2 linked regions of the Oreochromis niloticus genome follow. Each later gene encodes a partner of the first gene's protein in a complex. Links are inferred from orthologs where the notes say so. Each region holds a gene or a part of one and is shown in the gene's direction. Other genes may lie near its edges. The genes, in order: cpsf2 and cpsf4.

Region 1 (11,641 bases):
GCAGGTTAGGTCTGCAGCATAAGTGACCTGTCTGAGAAATGAACTGCTGCTGTAATATTCAAAACCCAGGGTTAACCAACTAACCTAAATCATGCTTCTTAGTACAGGCCTTGGGTATTGATACATTTCCCTCTTTCCTCAGGGAAACATGGGAAAAAAAGCCCATCTTTGTCCAACGTAAGAATCCTGATTACTACAAGGGACTGTTCTCTACAGCAGAGCTCGATCGCATTTTCAGAGAGGTAAGAAACCTGAAACTAAGTCTTAAACTTAGTTAAAAATGGATATGTTTTTTTCTTTTTCTTTTTCAAAACATTGAATTAGCACCAGGTGAGTCAGGGGAAGGGGCAAGTGGAACCAAGCATTTGAAATTTTTGGAGAATGGGTGGATAAACAGAAGACATAATCTCCCCATCTGTGTTTATCAGGGGACATGATGGATGGCAGGATTTATTGGCACTTTTAAGGATTGTAATCTGTTACTGGAAGTCTCACAAATGTTTTAACCAAACTGGCACCTTTTTTAAACCTCTAATTCGGGAATGTCAATTTGGCCCGTCAAAGGCAAATCTGGTCCACTGGACAGTTTTGGAACACGTGAAGTGGGAGATAAATTTTGGACTTTTAACTGTATTTTTCTGAAGTTTTACAGCTTTTCCTATTGATGAAGACCTCCGCCACAGCCATTCACATTACCAAAGTAATTAAGATATCTCGGGGATTAAGTGTTTAGTTAAACTTCTTTACACTGATAGAAAGGGGCGTTTCACTGGTCGACAGTATGTGGCCGCCATGTAAAATTAGAGACAACCCTGGTCTAATTGTGCAGATTAATAATCGTCCAGAGCAGTTTGGTCATATTTGTTAGTATAAATAAGGAATAAAAGTCCTGAATATTTGTTGACTTTTTAATATTAAAGGAAGATGTTCAGTATGGAGTGAACCTGGATGTCACAAGTTACACTAATGGCAAGAGAGAGACTCACAATCCTCCAGGGAGAGTGCTCCCATACACTGCGTGGGACTTCTATGAGGTGGGGACACAGTGCTGCAGGCTGCTGATTTATGATTATGTCTAAAGCAAGATTACAGTGATTTCTGCATTTTTAATGTCCTGATTACTTTCCTAATAATTGGGCCCTTTGATGCAAATTAGCTGCATTCACTTTCTCTGTGGGGATCATTAAAGCTTATCCTCATTTTCATATTTTCCGGGACCACCTTCATTAAGAGAAAAATCAGATGTATATTTATGTACTAAGTAATATTTTAATTTGAATATTTTTCATTGCTGCATGATAGAAGTCATTCCATTAGCTGTATCAGTGCGCCATCTGCTCTGTGCTGCAGATTAGTAGTCATCTTGGTGTCTCAATTCCCAGAGTGGCTGCTCCCTCCGCATGCTGAATCCTCAGGCTTTCTCCTCCACGGTGTGGAACGTGCTGTCCATCCTCCAAGAGCAGTTTGGCAGCATGGCGGGAGCCAATATGTTAGTATTTGGAGCAAAAATCGGTCACATTGGGGAATACTCCATTTGTTTTGGTCTTGATGTGTGTGTGTTTTCTTCAACCAGATACCTGACACCACCTGGCACACAAGGATTTGCTCCACATTATGATGACATTGAAGCCTTTGTGGTTCAGCTGGAGGGGAAGAAACGCTGGCGAGTGTACAGCCCAAGGTGAAAAACAGCGGGGAAACTTTCAAAAAAGAGCACCACAATTTTAAAGTCATGCTGTTGCTGAATTAATAGTGCATAATAATAAATCCAGAATAATATATCAAACACACTGCGTGTACATTATGCGATGTCATTGCATTAGTAAATCTCTGCAAATGTTTTAAATCAGCAAACTTGCATAACAGACTTATTTATAGTATGTGGGTCATGATGGACTAAAGTTTTATACAAAACTACTTAAGCATCCAAATCAGTGTTGATTGAACCCAGTGAAGCCTGAACCATAAAATAATTGCCAGAAAATTCTCATTTTTGTGAAACTGGGGTGTTTATTGAACCTTCAGACGAATTAAAACAATAATAAAGTCAATTTGCATATGTGGGTTTTAATTTGTTTAATTTTTGCTATATCTGGTATTTTTATATATATATTTTTTTTTTTTACTCTTTCGTTTTCTCTTTTTTTCCTTTTCTTTTAGATCAGACGATGAGGTCTTGCCTGTGCTTTCGAGTCGTGAGTAAAAAAAACAACAACAACTAATCCTCTTAGTAGTTTTTAACGGTTGCGTTTTGTTAGCATAATTATTTGATGCCTCTGGGTCTGAACCTCGTGGGATCCTGGGGCAGCAGGGGAATGGGTACTTTGTAAAAAGCACTTGTAATTAAAAGTAAGAGAATGATGGTGGAGTGGGTTTGATGAAGGAGGGCAGAAAAAGAAATATTTCATGTCTTGTGGTGTCACTTACAAATGATAAATTACTGATTTGTGGAAATAAAATAGCCTCTCTTGCTTGAAAAACAGAATTATAAATAAATATAATTAATGCTGGCATAGATTTCTCAGAGGTGTCTGCTTTGTGATTTCTCTTCAGCAAACTTCGACCAGGCAGACATTGGTAAGCCGATCCTAGATGTGGTGGTAGAAGCCGGAGATCTCATCTACTTCCCTCGAGGTTTTATCCATCAAGGCAACTGCCTACCAGACGCACACTCTCTGCACATCACCATCTCCTCTTACCAGAAGAACAGCTGGGGAGATCTGCTGCAAAAGGTAGAAAACCCTCCCTGTTTCCCCCTGTGGTGCATGCAGATGAAGACAACGGCCGAACTCTGAAACGTGTGCCAGTAGTTAGCAGAAGGGTATAAATCTTGCATCCAGCATGAAGTGGTTTTGCATTGCAGGTGAAGAATAATAACCAAAGCAGTCTTTCCTGCTGACAGATGATACTAATGATCTCTGGTGGAGAGTATTTTGCTGATGGTTCATACATCACCTTTCTTTCTTAACCTAAGGATTGCCTAAGACAGTTAAACTTACAAAAGGGTATTCAGAATTTACTGCTCTTTTTTTCAGCTGGTCCCAGCAGCATTGGAAGTAGCAATGGAGGAGGACGTGGAGTTCAGACGGGGTTTACCTCTGGACTACCTGACGTACATGGGAGTACAGAATTCCGACAAGGTATTTAATGAAGTGATTTTTACCAACTTTTCAGGTGTTGTCTTCGTTTACTCCCAATTACTAGCTAAAGATAAAACTTATCCTTGTGTAGGAAGACCCGCGCAGGGCAAAGTTCTTCTCTCGAATTGATAATCTGATGAAGAGGCTAACAAATTACGCACCAGTAGATGCTGCTGTTGATCAGAAGGCTAAAGACTTCATTCATGACTGCCTTCCTCCCGCTCTCACTCCAGGTATGTGATGGAGAGAGCTGTAATTGTTGCATTAGTTTCTTTTTTCAGTGAGATGCATAATGTCACGATATTGCTTTTGATTCTAATTCATGCCATCACCCACAGATGAACTGGTCACCAGTGTACAAGGAGCACCTACGAGGTGGGAAGGTGGACAAGTAAAGGATGTGGGTGTACATATCATTACACAGACTCAAATCAGAATTCTACGTGCTCAGTGTGCCCGGTAACACAGATTTTTTTATTGACTACATGTTAAGGCTACCAATTAAAGCAGAAAAGTGTCATTGTCATTTGTCTTGTAAATCTTTACTGCCAGGTTATGCAATGACGGAGATGCCGTTCATCTTTACTACACCACTGACAACTCTAGAGTTTACCACAAAGAGGAGCTCAAGAGTTTTGAAATAAAACCAGAGGTAAACATTGGCAGATGTGTTTGTCAGGTCTCGTAAACTGTGCTAATGACGGGGTTGACTTGTTTTTCCTCTTAGTACACAGATGCTGTCGAGTTTCTGATCCATTCATATCCCGGCTTTGTGACAGTAGGAAGCCTCCCATGTGAATCTGCGCAGGACAGGGTAATTATTACCTTCACACACTCTGTGTAGTTTTATGTTGTTGGAAGGTGTCTCATATGGGGCAGCTTATCTTCAGTGTTTTAGATGGGTACCTGTATAAACAAGGTTTCTGCACAGTGAAATCACTTATTTGGTTATGTGTTTGTCATTAGTGGTTGATCCTCATGTTTTTCCCCTTACTTTTTCCCCAGATTGCTTTGGCTGAACTACTTTTTGAGAAGGGGATTATCCACACTGCAGAACCAGTGTAGCACTAGATTCTTCCACCATGGTGACTGCATGAAGAGATCAAATCACTTTATACAAAATAAGATCTTCAGTGGAGAACATGTCTGCTCCAAGTAGCCTTCATTAGCTCAACTGGAAATGGATAATGCATTTGTGATTTTGCTGTTCAACTAAAAATAAAAAAAAATTTATATATAATTTTTGGTCTTGTACAACCAGAATCATTAACAAGTACCAAATGATTTTAATTAATGGCATCTTTATTATTGGTTGATACAACTCAAAAACAGAGGTACAGGAGTCTTCTTAAATATTGTGATTTGAGGACACCCATTCGTTCACACCACACGACACAGGCTTTCAAGTAGAGAGCAGTCTACCTCCAGGTCACCTCCTCTCCAGGCTTCAGTTCCCTATAAAAAGAAGAAAAATTTGAAGTTTTGTAAGATGTTTGGCTTTCACAGCGCAGAATGATGTATGAGCACAGTTTTACACCAGAAGATCACTACTGGAGTTATTGGCTGAAAGTGGAAAAGTGTATTACTACATTAGAAACAAAAAGTGTTATATGGAAATCTATTAAAGTGGATTTGCATAGATATAGAAGGCAGTTGCTTATTAATTGAGCCTGCATATCTGTAAGGGGTCTTTATTGCATTCAGCATTGCATCATATTTTGGCCTAAATACACCAAAATAGACAAGATAAAACACAAACACAGGATGTATTAAACTAATTGTCATTATTCTGCGTCATCTTATGTGTTTCAAATATTTACAGGTGGATTTTTTATGAAATTGCAGATTTCATGTATTTATAACTTTGCCAAATTGAAAATATCCATGCACTGAACTAATAACTCCAGACCATGGGCTATTGTGTACACAGTGACAAACATCACCATGAATTCAACATAGTAGTTAGTCTTTAAATTCAAGAATAACCTGAGGGATTTGTTTTGTTTTTATTTGGTGAACAGTCACTTGTTCTTACCTTCCGTACAAAGCACTCTTGTTTCTGAAAGCTGTCAACTTCTGGTCCTGTTGCTTGTCAAGGTACCATCCAATGACAAAGCCCGTGGGGACAAATATGTGTGCCCAGTACTGGCGGGCAAAGGCTGCCAAGTTCACCATGGTTCCTACCTAAAAAAAGGAAAAACAGCATGGGTTTTATACTCCCAAATTAAACTTATGATTGCAGTTGGACATTCATATTTGTATAATAAGAAAAATGGATGCAGGAAAGCACAAGCATAAATGATACAAGAACATTTACCACTATTGCTGAAAAGTCTGATCTCTGTTTAAGCTATCTGAAAGGCTAAATACTAATATAGCAATATCTTATTGCTTTCTTTTAAGATACACCATTGATACACTGGCATCACAGATTCCACTGTTAAATAAACAAATCAGTTATTAATTCATGATTTTAAATGAGGTTCTCAAATGAATAAGGGTAAAAGTTAACTAAAATAAAATTAGGGGAAATACTGTTAAAAGTGTAGGAAATCAGATCACTTATTACTGAAGTGACTTATTAAAAGTAATAATGAATGCAACAACACCTTTCATCTTTTAATTCCACTTTTTTCCATTTAGTTACACAGATTTAGATTTTGCATTTACTCGGGTTATCTTTGTCTAATGTTAAAATTTGTTTGATCTGAAACAAATACTCAAAAAAGGAAAGGGAGAATGCTTTTTCATAACACTATATCTGTATCGTGCCACCATCATTATTTTGATCATGCTGCGAGTCCCAACCATTGAAAGAGACGTTGTAATCTTTAGCAACATGTAGTATTCCGGGGGTAGCCCATGTTCACAGATTTAGAGGACCTGCAAAAAACTTCTAGAAAACGAAATCAGCTAATGTTCTCGACTAAAAATGACAGACATTTGTTTGCACAATTAGCACAACAACTGTCTTTAAACGCCTACTTTAGATTATAAGAATGTGTACACCTTAACAATGTGTTACAACATTTCTTTATGCACTTCAATGAGGTTTGACAGGCAAAGCTTAAATGCACATCAAGCTATGTCAAAGAACAGACCACGGTCACTTCAGTTATTATATGGTGGCCATGCATTACATTACAGCTATATATATGAAGCTGAATACTAAATATCCAGTAAGTCTGCAGATCGTTCATCACAAACTTTTGGTATCCTAGAGAGAGGCACTTGGCTAGCTAGCCTGTCAGCTAGTTAGCCTTAGCAATATGTTTCAAGGTGTAGTTAAGGATTATTTCTAAACTGCACTAGTTACTGTATTTTTAGTACGATAAACACATTAAAATTCACTGACTCGACCAAAAAAGAATAATGAATATAATATATAATATTAATATCTAAAATAATACCTTCTGTTTACACCAGCCGCGGCCTTCAGCTCCTCATTCACCAAGCGAAGGACATCGGATTCTACCAACTGTAAACTTACGATGTGGTGGTTTCATATTTTTAAATAATTAATTTTAATGTCAAAGCACAAGTAGTGGAATATTAGATACGTTCCAACACTGAACATATGATGTTAAAGGTGATGTGTTCAGATACCTTTCGAAAAAAAAATCTAAATGTAGTGTTTTAACATAGAATTATTTAGTACCGACACCACCATATGTGGTATGCTCCTTTGCCCTTTCACACATGATGCAGCGGCAAATATGTCTGCCGCTATCAAAAACGCGAGCCAAAATGGTTTAATTTGGGAATAACAGAAAAAAAGATTGTTGTTTGTTTTTTATTCCAGAAGACTAATCCATTATTTTACAATTAATGGTATGGTGCACGCTCCTTTGTTAGTTCATTTACACTCATTAGCTAGCACTGTAAATACACTTTGCTGGGCAATCTGCTAACAACTCTGAGCTAGCTGTGGCTAGCAACAAAACTGTGTTTACATTTTATTTACTTACAGCCTGTAAGCTGCATACATCACAGGTTAAACTTGTGCAACATTACGCTGTTAGCCTCACACACAGTTTAATGGCAAACTCCAACCATGGTTGTGTTTGTTTTCTTTGTTGATTAAATTGAATGACTTTTCTCAGAGTCGCACTCACACACATAAAGAGCCACGCGCCTTAGATTAAGTGGGAAAGGTTTCGTGGTGAGTATAACATGCAAGCACAATTCTTATATTTCAGCGCGACAACTGAAGAACCATGACGTCCATTATCAAGCTAACAGCCGTGTCAGGGGTTCAGGAGGAGACTGCCCTTTGTTACCTGCTGCAGGTGGATGAATTCCGCTTCCTCTTGGACTGCGGCTGGGATGAGAACTTCTCCATGGAAATCATAGATGTTATGAAGAGGTCGGTATACCGCCAGTCTTTCAAAAAGAGTTGATGTTTCTAATTTAAAAAACTCTTAGCAAAAAGTAAATGTGCCTTTATGAACTCACTAAACACAGTACACCCACAGCAGTCTGGTTTATTGATGACTGACCTCCCCACCCCGAAGTAGGGGAAAGAAAGCTTGTGCCGACCTTTTATTGCCATAAAAGAAAGTTTATAATACTACTACTACTACTGGCCGTCATTAGACGATGGGTGTAGGTTTTGTAGTCTTGTAGTCTGAGGGTCATCTCCCAAGAATTTCTTAACATCAGACCCCCAACTTACCTCACTTATGTTAAATTTGTACTTTTTCTGTCTCATCTTGTAGTAGAAGAATATCAGGCGCAAGGAGATGGTTCAACATATATGGAGAGATTTCCAAACTTAGTCCTTTGCTTCTTTATGCTTTCATTAGCATGGACAAATGTATGTCTTCTAATTCTATTGCTGTTTCCTATACATATATACAACATGAATTATCCTAATTCATACTCTAATGGCAATTTTGTAGATGTTAAGATTTTCACTGGGAGAAAGAATTAGATCAGAAGGAAAGTTCAGGTTGAGCGGTTTGGAGACCAAATTTAAAGAAGTATGGCTGAGATGATGTTGTTGTGAATATGTTGGACAAAGAATGTTAAATATGGAGTAGCCAAGCAGGAGAATAAGACCACTGAGACGAGTTACGGATGTAGTGAAAGAGGGCTTGTGTGACAGAGGAGGATGCTAGAGATAGGGTGAGATGGAAGCAGATGATGTACGATGAGGACAGTGGAAAGAAGAAGAGTGGGAATTATTAATGATGCAGTTTGGTTTTTATTATGCTTTCCACCTAGAGCTTTTTATTCACATAATAGTTGTGTTCTTCATCTCTGCCTGTGAATGTGAATCATTCTTAGCTATGTAGTGCAAGAGTGCAGAATTAAAGGATGTCTGTCGTCTTCTAACTATGCCATTATTGCACATTCACCTTCATGTCTGTCCTTGCCTTTGGTAGTCTTCTCTCTCTCGCCCTCTCAACATATATATAAAACCCTGTCTATTATAGTACTTTATCACCAATGAGAAATTTCATACTCATCGTTTCTAACTGTATCAGTTGGATGAACATCTATAGAGTCGAGAATAAAAGGGACAGCTCTACTTTTGAGGCTTCCAAACTACCTAAAATCTCTTCTTTTCTCACATCTAATAACTACAGCTACAGAGATTTCAGAGACAGTGGTTGAATTGTAACTTCCAGGGAAAAAAATGTTTTTTAAATTCTTATTTTAGTGCAAAGTCAGGAAACCTCCAAAGTGATTTTTACACAATTTGAATAGCTATCTTAACACCAAGAGTATCAGAAGTAACCCTTGAAGCTCTTTTCTTGCTTATAGAGCAAGATGACTGGGTTTGTATCAGAAATTGGTGAGGGTGGTCTCTGCCTATTCAGTTACCCTTGGAAAAACCCCAAAAACTATGTCAATGGTTGTCACGTCTTTATTGATATGTAATGAGGTGTCAAAACTCATCATTAAGGGTACAGGGCAGTTCATGAAATGTCATCTTTGTTGAGGGGGAAAACATTAAACACAACTTTAAATATTTCCCATGTGCACATGTTAGTTGGCTTTGTTTCTGGAACTGTGCACCTTCTAATCTTGAATGAATCGCAAACTGTCCTCAAAGTAGAGGCCACTAGAAGCCTATATTACCCTTGTAAAATGTAAAGCTTTATTATCTGTCTGGACTCCTTGTGAATGCGTATTGTTCTCCTTTAAAGAACAAATTTTGATCTTGTGAGACGAGACTGTGCGATTGAATAAAGATTTGAATTAAACTACTCCACTTTTCTGGGACTTGAACCTGCTGCAATGCTCTTTTTTCCCCTCTCCAGACATGTTCATCAGGTCGACGCTGTGCTGCTCTCCCATCCCGACCCCATACACTTGGGAGCCCTGCCATACGCTGTGGGCAAACTGGGGCTGAACTGTACTATCTATGCCACGATTCCTGTCTACAAGATGGGGCAGATGTTCATGTACGATCTGTATCAGGTAAGAAGGGGATGTGGGTAATGCATGATTTAATTAACAGAGGGTCTTTTTGGCTTGATTACCATTGCTGTATTAAATTCTCTCTTTCTTTCCATGTAGTCCCGAAACAACAGTGAAGATTTTACACTGTTCACTCTTGATGATGTGGATGCTGCTTTTGATAAGATCCAGCAGCTGAAGTACTCTCAGATTGTCAATTTGAAAGGTGTGTTTTATTTGCAGAACATCAGAGGTCAGGTGTTATTCCCTGTTTATGCACCACATATAACAATGTGATTGTTTATGTATTTTTTTTTTTACCTGACAGGAAAAGGGCACGGTCTTTCCATTACTCCTCTTCCAGCCGGTCACATGATTGGAGGCACTATTTGGAAAATTGTGAAGGATGGGGAGGAGGAGATTGTTTACGCCGTGGACTTTAACCACAAGAGAGAAATGTAAGCAAAGAAAACATTAATGTGAAATGAAATTTTATTGTTTTTAGTTTGGCTCATTGTTAATGCATTCTTTTTCTCTGTGTACTCCAGCCACCTCAATGGCTGCTCATTGGAGAGCCTCAGCCGTCCATCCTTACTTATTACAGACTCCTTCAATGCGGCGTATGTACAACCACGTCGCAAGCAAAGAGATGAGCAGCTACTTAGTACGTATTAATAGCCACTGGGCGCTTTAACACTAACACTATTACATCAATAGTATGTGAGTTCAAACTGCCATATTCTAACGGTTACAGATTTTATTATGTAAATTTGTAATTCTCTTTTTCCGTTCTTCCACAGCCAATGTGATGGAGACCCTGCGTGGTGATGGCAATGTCCTTATTGCCGTCGATACAGCTGGGCGTGTGCTGGAACTGGCTCAGCTCCTGGACCAGATTTGGAGGACGAAGGATGCTGGGCTCGGAGCTTACCCACTCGCTCTGCTTAACAATGTTAGCTACAATGTAGTGGAGTTCTCAAAGTCCCAGGTACCATTAACTGTTTGTTTTTCACATCGGAGAAACTATTGAAATATTCAGATTTTTCCAGTCAAAACTTAAATTTTTCTACAGAGAGAGCACAGCAAATAATACATAATTGTTATTGTTATAATTCATGAATTCATTAATTACTGATCCTTTGTAGGTGGAGTGGATGAGTGACAAGCTCATGAGGTGTTTTGAGGACAAGAGGAACAACCCGTTCCAATTCCGACATTTGACCCTGTGCCACAGTCTGGCAGACCTGGCCCGTGTACCCAGCCCCAAGGTGGTGCTCTGCAGCCAACCGGACCTTGAGTCAGGGTTTTCTCGAGAACTTTTTATCCAGTGGTGTCAAAATGCAAAAAATTCCATCATCCTGACGTACCGCACCACACCTGGAACCTTAGCTCGCTACCTCATCGACAACCCTGGAGAAAAGATGCTGGATCTGGAGGTGAGTCCTGCAGTCATAATGTTGATTTGCTATACCAGAGTGTTGATATCTGCCCCATGGGAAGCTTCTGATGCTAATATGCAGACCCGGCTTAGGAAGAAACAAAATTTGTCAGTTTGTCATTTACACCGTATCCATTTGCCACTTTTTCTCGTTACCACAGGTCAAGAAGAGAGTAAAACTCGAAGGCAAGGAGCTGGAAGAATACCTGGAAAAGGAGAAACTTAAGAAAGAAACTGCTAAAAAACTTGAACAAGCAAAAGAGTAAGTTTCTGCAGAAAAAGACATGAGATGACTTGTAGCTTAAGGGTTGCATGTATTTTCTCTGTGACGCTATTGGTGTTACAAAACGTTTCATCAGTCAGTTCACGAGTACGGCAGCAAATTAGGTTTGGAAAAAATGCCATCACAAATGCAAACTGTGGTCTAGACTACAAATCTCAAACATGCTGTTTAAAAGGAAATCTGTAACTGCGAGATGAGTCATAACACTTTTATGACAAACATTTATATTCCGCTACCGAGCAAAAATAAGTTGTCTGCTCCTAGACAAATTAAACTTTTAAGTATAGAATTAATGTTTATTTTATGGGTTTGCAGGGTGGATGTGGACTCCAGCGATGAGAGCGATATGGATGATGATCTGGATCAGTCGGC
Region 2 (11,905 bases), on another chromosome or scaffold:
GATTTAAATAGTTGAAGGGGTGGGCACCAGCAAGGTGTAACTAATGAAGTGGCTGCTGAACCGCTGCTCACTGGATATTTTCCCCTTTTCTGATCATTCTCTGTAAACTCTACATATGTTTGTGTGGGAAAATCCCAGCAAATCCTCAGAAAAGACATTTAAATCACCTTTCTTCTCCATGCTGATGCTTACTTTGAACTCGATCTACATATCTAGAGATGCAGATAAGCTGTCATGTGATTGGCTGATTTGACATTTTAGTTAATGAGCATGCTAATAAGTGTGCCTAATAAGTGTGCCCGGTGAGCTGTTCTCCATTTTTCCTCACAGTCGTCTTCATGTCTTTGCCCGTAGCACAGGGTGGCAGTAAAGAATATAGTACGCAGGATAAAAATCAAATGAAGAAGAAGCGATGCGCTGATTGGTGGAAAGTTTGGCGGACTTTACCCTCCGCTGTGAAGCAGTTCTACTGTTGGCGCTCCGGGGCTCGAACTTCAGCTCAGTGTACGGCTGACAGCGCGGGAGTCTCTGCAGACGGTGAGTGAGCTGGTTAATGTTTCACACACAGAGGACGGTAATGTTAATGCGAGCAGCGAGAAAATATGTGGAGACATAAATGTGTTTTGCACTTTAACCTTCGTTAAAGCAGATTAGCTCTGCAGGTGAAGTTTTCACGTTTTGTGTTTTTTAAACTTGGTGATGTGTTCAGGGGTCCTCTCAGTTCAGGTTTAGCCAGCGTGTGCACTGCACAGCTGTTGCTGTCTTTCTGGGTCAGTCAGCAGATGATAAGAGTAATGAGAAGCATGCGCTGCTGGGTTACACTGCACAGATACATGACTGTCATGAGGAGACACACAGGAGAGACAGTCTGATAAAGATCCGGCAGCTGCGTATTTCATGGAGTAGTGAGCTTGTTATCTGGGTTACAAAATAACCAGTGATACGGCTTATTGTGTAGTTCAGTGACTGTTTGGGCTGTGTGACGGTTCAAAGTTTAGCTGATGAGGCCATATTACCTCATACTGTAGCATGGGTGGTGCTGCTGCATATTCACTCTTTGTCTGAGGCTTTGTGCTGTAATAATGGAGCATCTGTAGGGCCAGTTTGTCAGCAGCACTGTCTGCATGCTGTATCATCACACACAGGTGTTAATTCCTTTCAGATTGATATTGTTTTTGTTTTTATGTCTGTGTAAAAGTCTCATCTTTTAGATTTCCACTTTGTGAGACCAAGAAAAAAAACAGCAGTCATGTCTTTATCTAACGGCCATCATGTGAGCAAAGAAGAATGGGAATCGCACAACAAGATGCTGCTGGAGCCGCTGGCAGTTAACGACTCAGAGGTTTGTGTTTAGTGGAGGTAATACAACAAATTACATATTAAACGTGTACCTAATAAAGGCCCTTTGAGAGTTCCCACCTAACAGAAATCTGTGTGTGTGTGTGTGTGTGTGTGTGTGTGTGTGTGTGTGTGTGTGTGTGTATTCAGGTGTTCTCCATTATTAAAAAAGAGAAGCACAGGCAGACGTACGGTTTGGAGCTGATAGCATCTGAGAACTTTGCCAGCAGAGCTGTTCTTGAAGCGCTGGGTTCCTGTATGAACAACAAATACTCCGAGGGCTATCCTGGCCAGAGGTGCAACGCTTAATCTAGTTAAAATCCCAACTGGCTCGATCTCATTAGTGTGGCATTAACATTATGAACATTATTTGTAATGGTGAGCATGATTTATGTGTACAGGTACTACGGTGGTACGGAGCATATCGATGAGCTAGAGAGACTTTGTCAGAAGAGAGCACTGGAGGCCTACAGTCTGGACTCGGAGAAATGGGGTGTCAACGTTCAGCCATACTCGGGTATCAAATATGGATGCATTTAAATCTGAGTCTTGACTACACCCGGTGGCATGCAACATCTGCCGTGCTCCTGTCACTCACTGTCATACTGTTCGTGCTTCTCGGTAAGGGTCACCTGCAAATTTCGCCGTCTACACTGCTGTTGTGGAGCCCCACGGCAGGATCATGGGGCTGGATCTTCCAGATGGAGGTCACCTGACGCACGGCTTCATGACTGAGAAGAAAAAAATCTCGGCAACCTCAATCTTCTTTGAATCCATGCCGTACAAGGTATGTATGTGCACGTATGGTCGGGAACCAAAAGGTTCTGTGGGAGTTTGGAACAAATTTCTCAAAGATGCGATGCGCTCTGGTATTTCGTCACGACAGCTGGGACAAATCACAGAATCAAGGCGGTTATTTGAGTTACTGTTCCCTTCCTATCAGCTCAAAGCAGTTTGGCCATTCTTCTCTGACAGTGACAGGGCTTTTTCATCAGAGAACTGCCGCTCACTCAGCAGTTCCTGAAACACTCAGACCAACAATCATACCACATTAAAAGTCACTTAAAACATCTTTTTGCCCCCATTCTAATGCTCAGTCTGAACTTCAGCATGTCACGCTCATCATGTCTACATACTTAAATTCATTCAATTGAAGTCATATGATTTGCTGATTAGATATTGGTGGTGAGCAATTTCCAAGATTTTTGGAAACAAAAGTGAGCACTAGAAACCACTTTGTGGTGGGAGCAAACCATCTGGAACACCAGTGAGTACTTCAGACTCAATGAACTACACATCTGTGAAGTTTGACTGAATCTCCCATGGGTTGTATATCGTCAGATTCCTTAAAAGTGACCAGTATCTGCTGTGGCTGTCCATGTTTGTAAATGTAGGCAAAATCAAAACAACTGATTTCACTTTGGTTCAGGTTTTATCCAAAGTCCAACTACGTGGTGTTGTCCTCATCTTGTGTATAGCAGGTGTTATGTTTTGGTTATGATGTGATCTGCTGCTTCTCTGTTCATCCAGGTCCATCCAGAGACTGGCTACATCGACTACGACAGGCTGCAGGAAAATGCACGACTCTTCCACCCTAAACTCATCATCGCAGGTAGTGCATCCCTCCTGTGTTTTTTATTTTTTATTTTTTTACTCAGTGAGCAGTGACTGGGAGCTTTAAATCTGAGGGTATTTGGGGGAGAAGAAAAGAAAATCTCTACACTTTGTCTTTTTTTTCTTTCTCAGGAACGAGCTGCTATTCTCGCAACCTTGACTATGCCCGCTTGAAGCAGATTGCTAATGAGAATGGTGCCTATCTGATGGGAGACATGGCTCACATAAGTGGATTAGTGGCTGCCGGAGTGGTGCCCTCACCCTTTGAGCATTGTGACATTGTTACCACGACGACGCACAAGACACTGCGTGGCTGCCGTGCTGGGCTTATTTTCTACAGAAAAGGTATAAAAGGGACCTGAAGCCAAAAACGGCAAAGACAGCACTGAACTTTTTCTCCCTTTGTCCTGTTATAAATCTGCTCTTCCACACACTGATAATGTGTGAATTTACTATTTTTATTCGACCTTCTCCTCTTCTTCGCTCCATCTCTTCAGGCGTGCGGAGTGTGGATGCCAAAGGAAAAGAGACTCTGTACAACTTGGAGTCATTGATTAACCAGGCCGTGTTTCCCGGACTGCAGGGAGGACCGCACAACCACGCCATCGCAGGTATTAACTCATCATTTTCTTCCACTTTCGCTTTTTACTCTTTCACGTCTCTCACTGGGGTCATGTTTTGTTTGTTTCTTTTTCAACAAATGGCAGGTGTTGCTGTAGCTCTGAAGCAAGCCATGACACCAGAGTTTAAGGCCTATCAATTGCAGGTTCTCGCTAACTGCAAGGCTCTATCCAGCGCTCTTGTTGACCATGGCTACAAGATTGTCACCGGTAAGTACTGCAGAGCACCATAATAGACAAGTGGAAGTGAAAATTGCCATGACAACCAGCTGAAATTACACTGAGTGGGAGAAGAGCAATCAACATGGATGCAAAAAGTATAACTAAGCCCATTTACTTTTTATTTTTTCATTCTTCGGAGTAAAAGAGGCTTGAAATTCCCAATCCCGCAATAACTTGACCAACCATCCCTGTTTATAAATTTCAAAAGGCCAGCATCTTCATGTGTGATCTTCACTGTGAAGATCCCGTGAATGTTTCGGAGGATGGAGAACGGTGTGGATGCCCAAGAACGAGCGTTTGAAAACAAATCAAATGAAGGCATCAGAATGATTCCAGCAATGTGTCCAGCAATGTGTCCACCAACAAAGACTGTTAGGGAGAACTTTGCACAACATGAAGAAGCACATTTATGCAAAGGTTATCCCACGGTTGGGATAAACTCGTGAAACAAATTGAAGCAAATCCAATGTATTTATTTTTTGGAAAAATATGTTCATGAGACTTATATCTGGAGAAGGCTGGACATCACCTGGGTTGCCAAGGATGAAAGAGTTCAAGTTCAAGGCTGTGTTAATGGTTTTCTTTGACATTAAGAGCATAATTATGGATTAGAGGACGGGGTTCTAGAGGAATTAACAAAAGGGATTGAACCAAAACTCTATTATAAAGACGTTCTCGAACATTTTCATCTAAGGGTGAAGAAAAAGAGGCTACAGCTGTTGGAAAGTGGTTCCCTCTTTCATCAGGACCCACACTGCTCTCTCTGAAGGGTTCTTTGGCCCACTGCACACTCTGTATTTTCCTGATCTTGCACCATGTGACTTTCTTTTCCCTAAAATCGGATCTGCTCTCAAAAGAACTGATTTTGAGTCTTTTTCAGAAGTCAAGAAGAAAACGATAGCTTTTGAGATGCCTAATGAAAGATCTGCTGCACTGCTTTGATTGGAAGACGAGAGTGCAGCCGCGTGTAGGTGCAAAGGGGAATATATCGATTCATTAAAATTGAATTACAGCATCAGCCTCATATGGTCGTTGACTTAACTGATGATCCTAAGCCTGAGTGAGCCTGAATGGTTGACCATCTCTCTGTGATGGAGTAGCCTGCCCAGAGTGTAGCTCTCCACATTCTCAGTGGCGTTAAGGAGGATGGATGATTTGTAGCCTCATGCTCATCTAATGTTCCTTTTTGTAATCTCTTAATGTGCAGGCGGCTCTGACAACCATCTGATCCTGCTGGACCTGCGCAGCAAGGGAACCGATGGAGGACGAGCAGAGAAGGTCCTGGAAGCATGTGCCATTGCTTGTAATAAAAACACCTGTCCAGGTGAGTGTGGCAAGTAAGGCGCATTTCATATTTAAGATAAGAAGAACTTTATTTATCCTGAGGGAAATTCTTTTGTCATAAACATGCTCAGTGCAGCAAGAGAAGCAGAGGAATAAACATATAATAAGAATTTTTTTTTTTTAAAGTAGATAGATCTGTTTTGCTTGCTTGATGCCTCTGTAAAGTCCCGTTCTTAGTTTTCCTCATACATCTTTGTAGGAGATAAAAGTGCTTTGCGGCCTAGCGGCCTGAGGTTCGGCTCGCCTGCTCTTACCTCCAGAGGCTTGGTGGAGAATGACTTCAGGAAGGTGGCTGAGTTCATTCACAGAGGTAATTATTTTTCTTTAAAGGAGGAACTGGTATAAAAAGATTTCTCACAAACAAAATGTAAATAACCCATGCTTTCCATTCTTCCGCAGGCATTGAACTGACTGTGGAGGTGCAGAAAAGTCTGGATCCCAAAGCCAATCTGAAAGAGTTTGTTCAGGCATTATCCCAGGGAGAGAAGTTCCAGCAGCGGGTAGCAGAGATCAGGGCTGAGGTGGAGGCTTTCGCCGGACAGTTCCCAATGCCGGGTCTACCTGAGCTGTAGAGCGCAGTTCAGACTCTAAATGCAGCTGAACGGATGATTCAAGAAGATTAATATGAAGGCACATGATGCTGGGTTTTTGGTTTTTTTCCTTTATTTTGACTGTTGACTCACAGTTCTCATGGATAGACACGATTTCTGTTCAAACCGATTTAATGACCATCTAATTCTGTGTTGTTACTGAGCCTTTCCCATTTTTACATGTTTTCCATTTAGCTTCAGGATCGGATGTTACAATCATATTTAAGCTTTGAGCTCATCAGAAATCTCACTTTCATCTGTATTAAGGTTACACTTCAGAGGTTTTGTAGCAAACTACCACATTTTCAGTATATGATATACATATACAGTATTGTAAGTACAACTTATTCAATTACATTTTGAATAAACTAAGAATGAAAGAAGCATCAGCTGTTATGTTTTGTTTTGGGTTTTTTTTTTTTTTTTTTTTCCAGTCTAAGTACATTAGTGCTCTGGACTCTGATTACGTTAAGTAGATATTAGAAGCTTACAGTGGTTTAATAATCTTGATTTAGCAGCAATAGAAAAACAGCTGACGCTGGCTGGAATGTCATTTCAAGAGAACTGGACAAATAAAAATTCTGGTAGAATAAAAGTTAAGGGGTCATAAAATTCAAATCACCCTGATGAGAACGAGTCCATGGAGAGTTGAATATCCAGATCCTGTGAAAGCTGGATGTTGGTTTCAAAGGCTGAAAATAAGTTTTCTCCAGTAGACACTTTTTCTTCCTAGTACAATTCTCAGTGAAGAGAGATCCTGGACTTGGATTTTCACTCAAACTGGATACCGCTGTATGAATCTGTATATGCTATCACATAGTCTCTTTCTGGAAAAATGGTCAGTAATCCTCAAAGAACAGGTGATACAGGACATTAGAAAACATCGGATGCCAGCATCATGCCATGCTGTTTCAATCTTTTTTTTAAAAAAAGGATATCTAATTTTCTACCTTTCATGTGTTGTTTTTGTACCAATTTTAAATTAAACAACAAACTTTATTTATGTCCCAATTTTATTAGAAACGAGGATCTGATATGTTTCTACTGAAAATTACAAATGTTGGTACAATCACTGCTTTGTTTTTTGTTTTTTTTTTTTTGTTTGTTTTTTTAAAATTTTTCTTAATCTATACATTTGATTATTTAGATTACAATCTAACATTTAATGTTTAGCTCTCCATCAATGGACAAGAAGCTCAGTTTGAGAAGCGTTGATTTAGTGTTTGAGTTCAAATGAGCCAAAAGCAGGTTTTGCTCAACATGAAGATCAAAATAACACATCCCAGTACCCTCAGCTTTCACACTGAGAAGCTCTATAATAATCAGAATAAATCCACGAAAGGAACAGCGATGGATTTTATAAAGAGAAAAAAAAAAAAAACAGTGAAGCTGAATGAGACCTTGTCTGGCCTCTGAACCACACAAACTGATATAAAATATGTTTTGTACCAATGGTGTCCGACATAAAGGGGCACCAAAATCCAAATGTAATAAATTTTTACATCTTTTCCTACTGATAAAGAGCTCCCCCCCAGCTATTCATGCTACATTACAGTAATTTCTGGTTTAATTCTCTTACAATCAGATTACAAATGATCTACTATAGAAATTTCTGTTTTGGCTCCACAGTTTTTTTCTGTAATTTTTCTCATTTGTTACAGTTTAAGCCCAAAGAGAAATGCTGATAGATTTTACTAAAGCAGCATTTCTTCATCATGTAGAAAAACTTAAACTTTCTGTCGAGTTGTGGATTTAACGAAGCGCTCTGCGATCGTTTAGTCTTGTCTGATTTTGTCAGGTCAGAGGTCAGCCTGCGCGCCTCCCATCATCCACACAGAACAAGGAGCAGTTCGGGGACAAACAAACATTTACGGGACGGTCCGTGTCCATGGCTTGTCTTTAAAACCGACATTAGAGCTACAAACTACGGCGTCTGTTGTATTTTCGGTATCGGAGTTAGGAGTTGGGTGCTAACTTATCAGTTAGTCTGGCTAGCCGCCTTAGCAGGCTGAGAGGGAACCTGGTAGCTAGTAGCTAGACTTCGAGCTAGCTTAACCGAAACGGACATTTATCTGATCGGAGGAGTGAACAGACTGCAGCGGACATGCAGGACTTACTGGCCAACGTGGACCACATCAAGTTTGACCTGGAGATTGCCGTGGAGCAGCAGCTGGGAGCCCAGCCGCTTCCTTTCCCCGGCATGGACAGTAAGTGCTGGGATGCTAGCTGGTACTCAGCCCGCTGCAGGTTAACCTTAAGCGGAATTAACAGTAAAAGTGACGGGGAGAGTTGATCGCCACTGACTACTTATGTTTGTTGACCCTGTGATCGTGTGTGTCTCTGCAGAGTCCGGGTCTGCTGTGTGTGAGTTCTTCATGAGAGCTGCGTGTCAGAAAGGTAAAATCTCAACTCTGGTGATGTCACTGCAGCGTGAACGGCCCCAACAATGAACTCTTTAACTTCCGTAAAGTTAAAGTTTAGACACTTCACACCCCTCAAACGCACATATCGGTGCTGTTTGACCTTTTTTTAAGCAAGCTCGACCTCTCATGTGTAAATACAGCCTTAGATATACTGTTTACGGCTACAGTAGTACTGCACCTCACTGATTTCCAGGAATAGGTCATTGTCATAATGTTGTGAATTATATTACTCCTGTTAATAGCTCCAAGCGAAATTACCATTCCCCCCATCTTTATTAAGCGGTTTTGTAACCATTTCAATCCCTGCCATTAGGCCAGCCTTTGCTCATGTCAAAAAGTCAAAATGAAAAGTACTAAATTGTGTTTTAAGTGATCGGCATGACACTGAGAGCCATGTGTATCTTAATGAGGAGAAGGTCACAGAGTGCACTGTCTCTCACAGGTGGGATGTGTCCGTTTCGTCACATCAGTGGAGAGAAGACAGTGGTGTGTAAGCACTGGCTCAGAGGTCTGTGTAAGAAGGGAGACCAGTGCGAGTTTCTCCACGAATACGACATGACCAAGATGCCTGAATGCTACTTCTACTCCAAGTTTGGTGAGTTGACATCATGAGTGCATTTATTTGGTTAAACTTTCCACAGATCTTGTCAAATGAATGCTGTACTGATTAATGTTTTGTTCTGTGACCCTCACAGGTGAATGCAGCAACAAGGAGTGTCCTTTCCTACACATAGATCCAGAGTCCAAGATCAAAGACTGTCCCTGGTATGACCGAGGCTTCTGCAAACACGGTAAGGTCAAATTCTAGTACTAATACCACAAACCCACTGATTATAGACGTGGCCTGTCCTTTCTGTGGTTTAAATGGAGAAAAACATCATACGTCGGTCTTATTATCCTCAACTCTGTCTCCGTCTTCTTACCTCAGGTCCTGACTGCCGACACCGACACACCAGAAGGGTGATCTGTGTGAACTACTTGGTGGGCTTCTGTCCAGAAGGAAAGTCCTGTAAATTTATGCAGTAAGTAGTCGTTTTACATTTACTTCCTACACAACAGGTATGATTCCTGATAGGACCTGTGCTCCACATTAAGTTGGTTAAATCTGCCAAGCAGTTGTGCAGGAATTTCATTACATTACACTCCAGTATAAATGGTCTTTGTTTGATTTCATAATGATGGATAGCTGGACTAAAAGCTGTTTGAGACTTCACCCTGCAGTGACGTAAATTATACATTGATGTTCCTCCACAGCCCCCGATTTGAGCTGCCTATGGGCGCTTCTGAACAGCCTCCTCTCCCACAGCAAAACCAGAACCAGGCAAAGGTAAGAATACACACAAACACTCAAATGATGCATCCTGATGCTGGCGTGGATCCATCTCAGAGGATGAATCAGCATGGCTCTCGGTGCTCCTGTTTAACTATTCGTTCCTGTTGCTGAGGTGCACAGTGAAAACAGAGTCTCTCTGCTTGCCTCCTGCCGCAGCCCGTGCCTACCATTGGCCGCTCGTCGCTCTCCTTAATCCAGCTCACCAACTCCACCCCAGCCCAGCGGCAGCAGAACAACATGACTACTGTGTCTCAGCAGAACAATCTAAATGCCAACAGAGGGCCTCGTCCGCTGGATCAGGTCACCTGCTACAAGGTAAGTCAGCCATACATCTGTGTGATTAAAGCTATGCCAGTCTCTCTCTTTGGTCGTAATTACAATCATTAATCAAACTGTGGTTGGTTATATTGCCAAAGCATGCACCAGCCATACATTTAGATCATTAAAACCATAATTTTCTCAAGTTTAGATGCACTTGTAAGGTTTTACTTATAATACTGGTTTCCTTGGCATGGTTGCAGTTTGAATAAGATGGATCACTGGTGCTCTTGTGAATTTATCCAGCTTCTTAAAGGGGAACAATTTTCTGAATTTCTTGACTTTCCATAGTGTGGTGCTTTACACATTTGCCTAAAAGCAAAAGGAGGTGACACAAATCCCTTTAGGATTGTCAGGAACAGTATCTGGGATGAAAAATGTGCACAAGGGTCTGGCTCCTCAGTTCAAACACAATCTGGAATCATCTGTTTCAAGTTTGCTTCCCACGTTCTTCTGATTGGCTCGCTTGCAAATTGTATGCTCAAACACGTATGAATGTGGGTGGGGCAGCTGTTCCAACAGCCTTGGATTGGGGTTATAGGGTTTACTTGGACATTCACCGATATCATTATTTAAAAACTTGTACACATTGGTGGATCTAACAGCACATATCTAACATATGTGCTGTTAGATCCACCAATCTCACAGCACATATAACTGAAAATAAAGAAGGGAAAACATCCCTAAACCAATCTCCTTTAAAAATAGAGGATTTGTTTTTTTTCTTGCTACTGGGAACAGCTGGAACATGTAGTCAATGTCGTTAATCGCTTCATTTCTCTGTCTTCCTCTTGTCTGCAGTGTGGCGAGAAGGGCCACTATGCCAACAAATGTACTAAAGGCCATCTTGCCTTCCTGAGTGGTCAGTAACCTTCAGCCTCAAACCCCAAACACCTCAGTGCTGTAGCGCACCACCCCTGATGTGAGCAGAAGAGAGGAAGGGGGAAGACTCTGCTCTACATGCTGGTGTATCTTAAAGACTAACTGCCGCCCGACAGACACGGACAGTGGGAGGGAAACATTGCTACTTTTTCTGGGGCCTGTGGACACATGAAAGTGACAAGAAAAAAGGTCGTCCGGCCTGATTTGCTGGGTTTGTACAGTACAGGTGACTTTGAAGAGTCACTCCCGGGGTCCAGACTGCTGCAAACACCAATACAGGTGCTGTTGTTCCTCAGGTCATGTGACTGCAGCTGCCATTGCTATGTTCCAAGTCTGACCGTGAAAACAAATCGAACAAATGTGATAAACATCTTAGGAATGTAATTTAGCTTGTACTCAGCAGCCAAATCCACACTCGCTATAAAGGTCTCATTCTGGACATTTCAGCCTCGGTTTAGCAGCTGTGTGTGGCAGGTACAGCAGTACACAGCAGCTGGAAGAGACGCTTTGTTGACAGTCTGAACATATTCTGTCTGTACAAATAAATGTTCTTGTTACAGATTTTTTTTTTTTACCCCTCACACTTTTCTGATCTTCTCATAGCCACTTCTGAGATTTACACAATACACTCACCCCACACCCAACACAATACACAACATAACAGTAAATCCTTATTTTTATTGGTCACAACAAGCACATATGAACACAGAGCCGAGGATAGAAAGAGCTGACGCGCCCCTGAAGGTCTGCTGAAGGGGCTCAGTGGTACTTCCTCCAGCGATCGTGTTCTACAAGAAAAGAAGCAGAAGTCGTTTAAAATATTAGCTTTTTTTAACTAGTGAGGTTAGCTGTGACAGGAGTGCAAAGAAATAAAACAGGCTCTGTAAGCGAGTGTATATTTCTTACTGATGTGGTCGTATTCCCACAAGTAGCTGATGGCCACGTAGCCAACGAGCAGCATAGCTACACCACCGATGCCCCCCTTCTTCACATTGATGTACTTGTTGTAGTATCTGTCGTGGCCTAGAAGAGAAAACGGCACGGTCAAGTGTCCTGTTTAGTATTCAATACATGCAAGAGGAGCACTCATTCTGTGACCTTAATTACTACTGAGGCCACATTTTCAAATTAGTCTCCAAGTAAGGAAAGCTACTAGCACAGGGGTCAGCAACCTTTAATGTCAAGAGACATTTTTCAGCAATTTGTGACTCAAAAAAATAA

Evidence for each region.
Region 2: cpsf2 (region 1) and cpsf4 share a complex: the UniProt entries of both Homo sapiens proteins name them as parts of the cleavage and polyadenylation specificity factor (CPSF) complex. The link is inferred for Oreochromis niloticus from reciprocal best matches to the Homo sapiens genes CPSF2 and CPSF4.

The regions. Positions count from the first base shown.
Region 1 is NC_031980.2:14,770,398-14,782,038, reverse strand, and holds the start of cpsf2 (cleavage and polyadenylation specificity factor subunit 2), read left to right. Parts: upstream 1-6,811; 5' UTR 6,812-6,971; intron 6,972-7,339; 5' UTR 7,340-7,357; coding exon 7,358-7,506; intron 7,507-9,409; coding exon 9,410-9,569; intron 9,570-9,668; coding exon 9,669-9,774; intron 9,775-9,876; coding exon 9,877-10,006; intron 10,007-10,096; coding exon 10,097-10,212; intron 10,213-10,348; coding exon 10,349-10,536; intron 10,537-10,693; coding exon 10,694-10,984; intron 10,985-11,147; coding exon 11,148-11,248; intron 11,249-11,584; coding exon 11,585-11,641. Other genes in the region: riox1 (ribosomal oxygenase 1), read left to right, coding at 143-242, 921-1,034, 1,383-1,489, 1,574-1,681, 2,161-2,195, 2,554-2,732, 3,036-3,140, 3,232-3,373 and 4 more. UniProt on the Homo sapiens protein: Component of the cleavage and polyadenylation specificity factor (CPSF) complex that play a key role in pre-mRNA 3'-end formation, recognizing the AAUAAA signal sequence and interacting with poly(A) polymerase and other factors to bring about cleavage and poly(A) addition.
Region 2 is NC_031969.2:10,421,141-10,433,045, forward strand, and holds cpsf4 (cleavage and polyadenylation specificity factor subunit 4), read left to right. Parts: upstream 1-7,507; 5' UTR 7,508-7,832; coding exon 7,833-7,935; intron 7,936-8,074; coding exon 8,075-8,125; intron 8,126-8,593; coding exon 8,594-8,746; intron 8,747-8,846; coding exon 8,847-8,942; intron 8,943-9,079; coding exon 9,080-9,173; intron 9,174-9,405; coding exon 9,406-9,478; intron 9,479-9,640; coding exon 9,641-9,799; intron 9,800-10,603; coding exon 10,604-10,672; 3' UTR 10,673-11,243; downstream 11,244-11,905. Other genes in the region: shmt1 (serine hydroxymethyltransferase, cytosolic), read left to right, coding at 399-537, 1,212-1,342, 1,489-1,634, 1,740-1,855, 1,965-2,125, 2,869-2,950, 3,085-3,297, 3,450-3,563 and 4 more; atp5mf (ATP synthase F(0) complex subunit f, mitochondrial), read right to left, coding at 11,444-11,472, 11,591-11,707. UniProt on the Homo sapiens protein: Component of the cleavage and polyadenylation specificity factor (CPSF) complex that play a key role in pre-mRNA 3'-end formation, recognizing the AAUAAA signal sequence and interacting with poly(A) polymerase and other factors to bring about cleavage and poly(A) addition.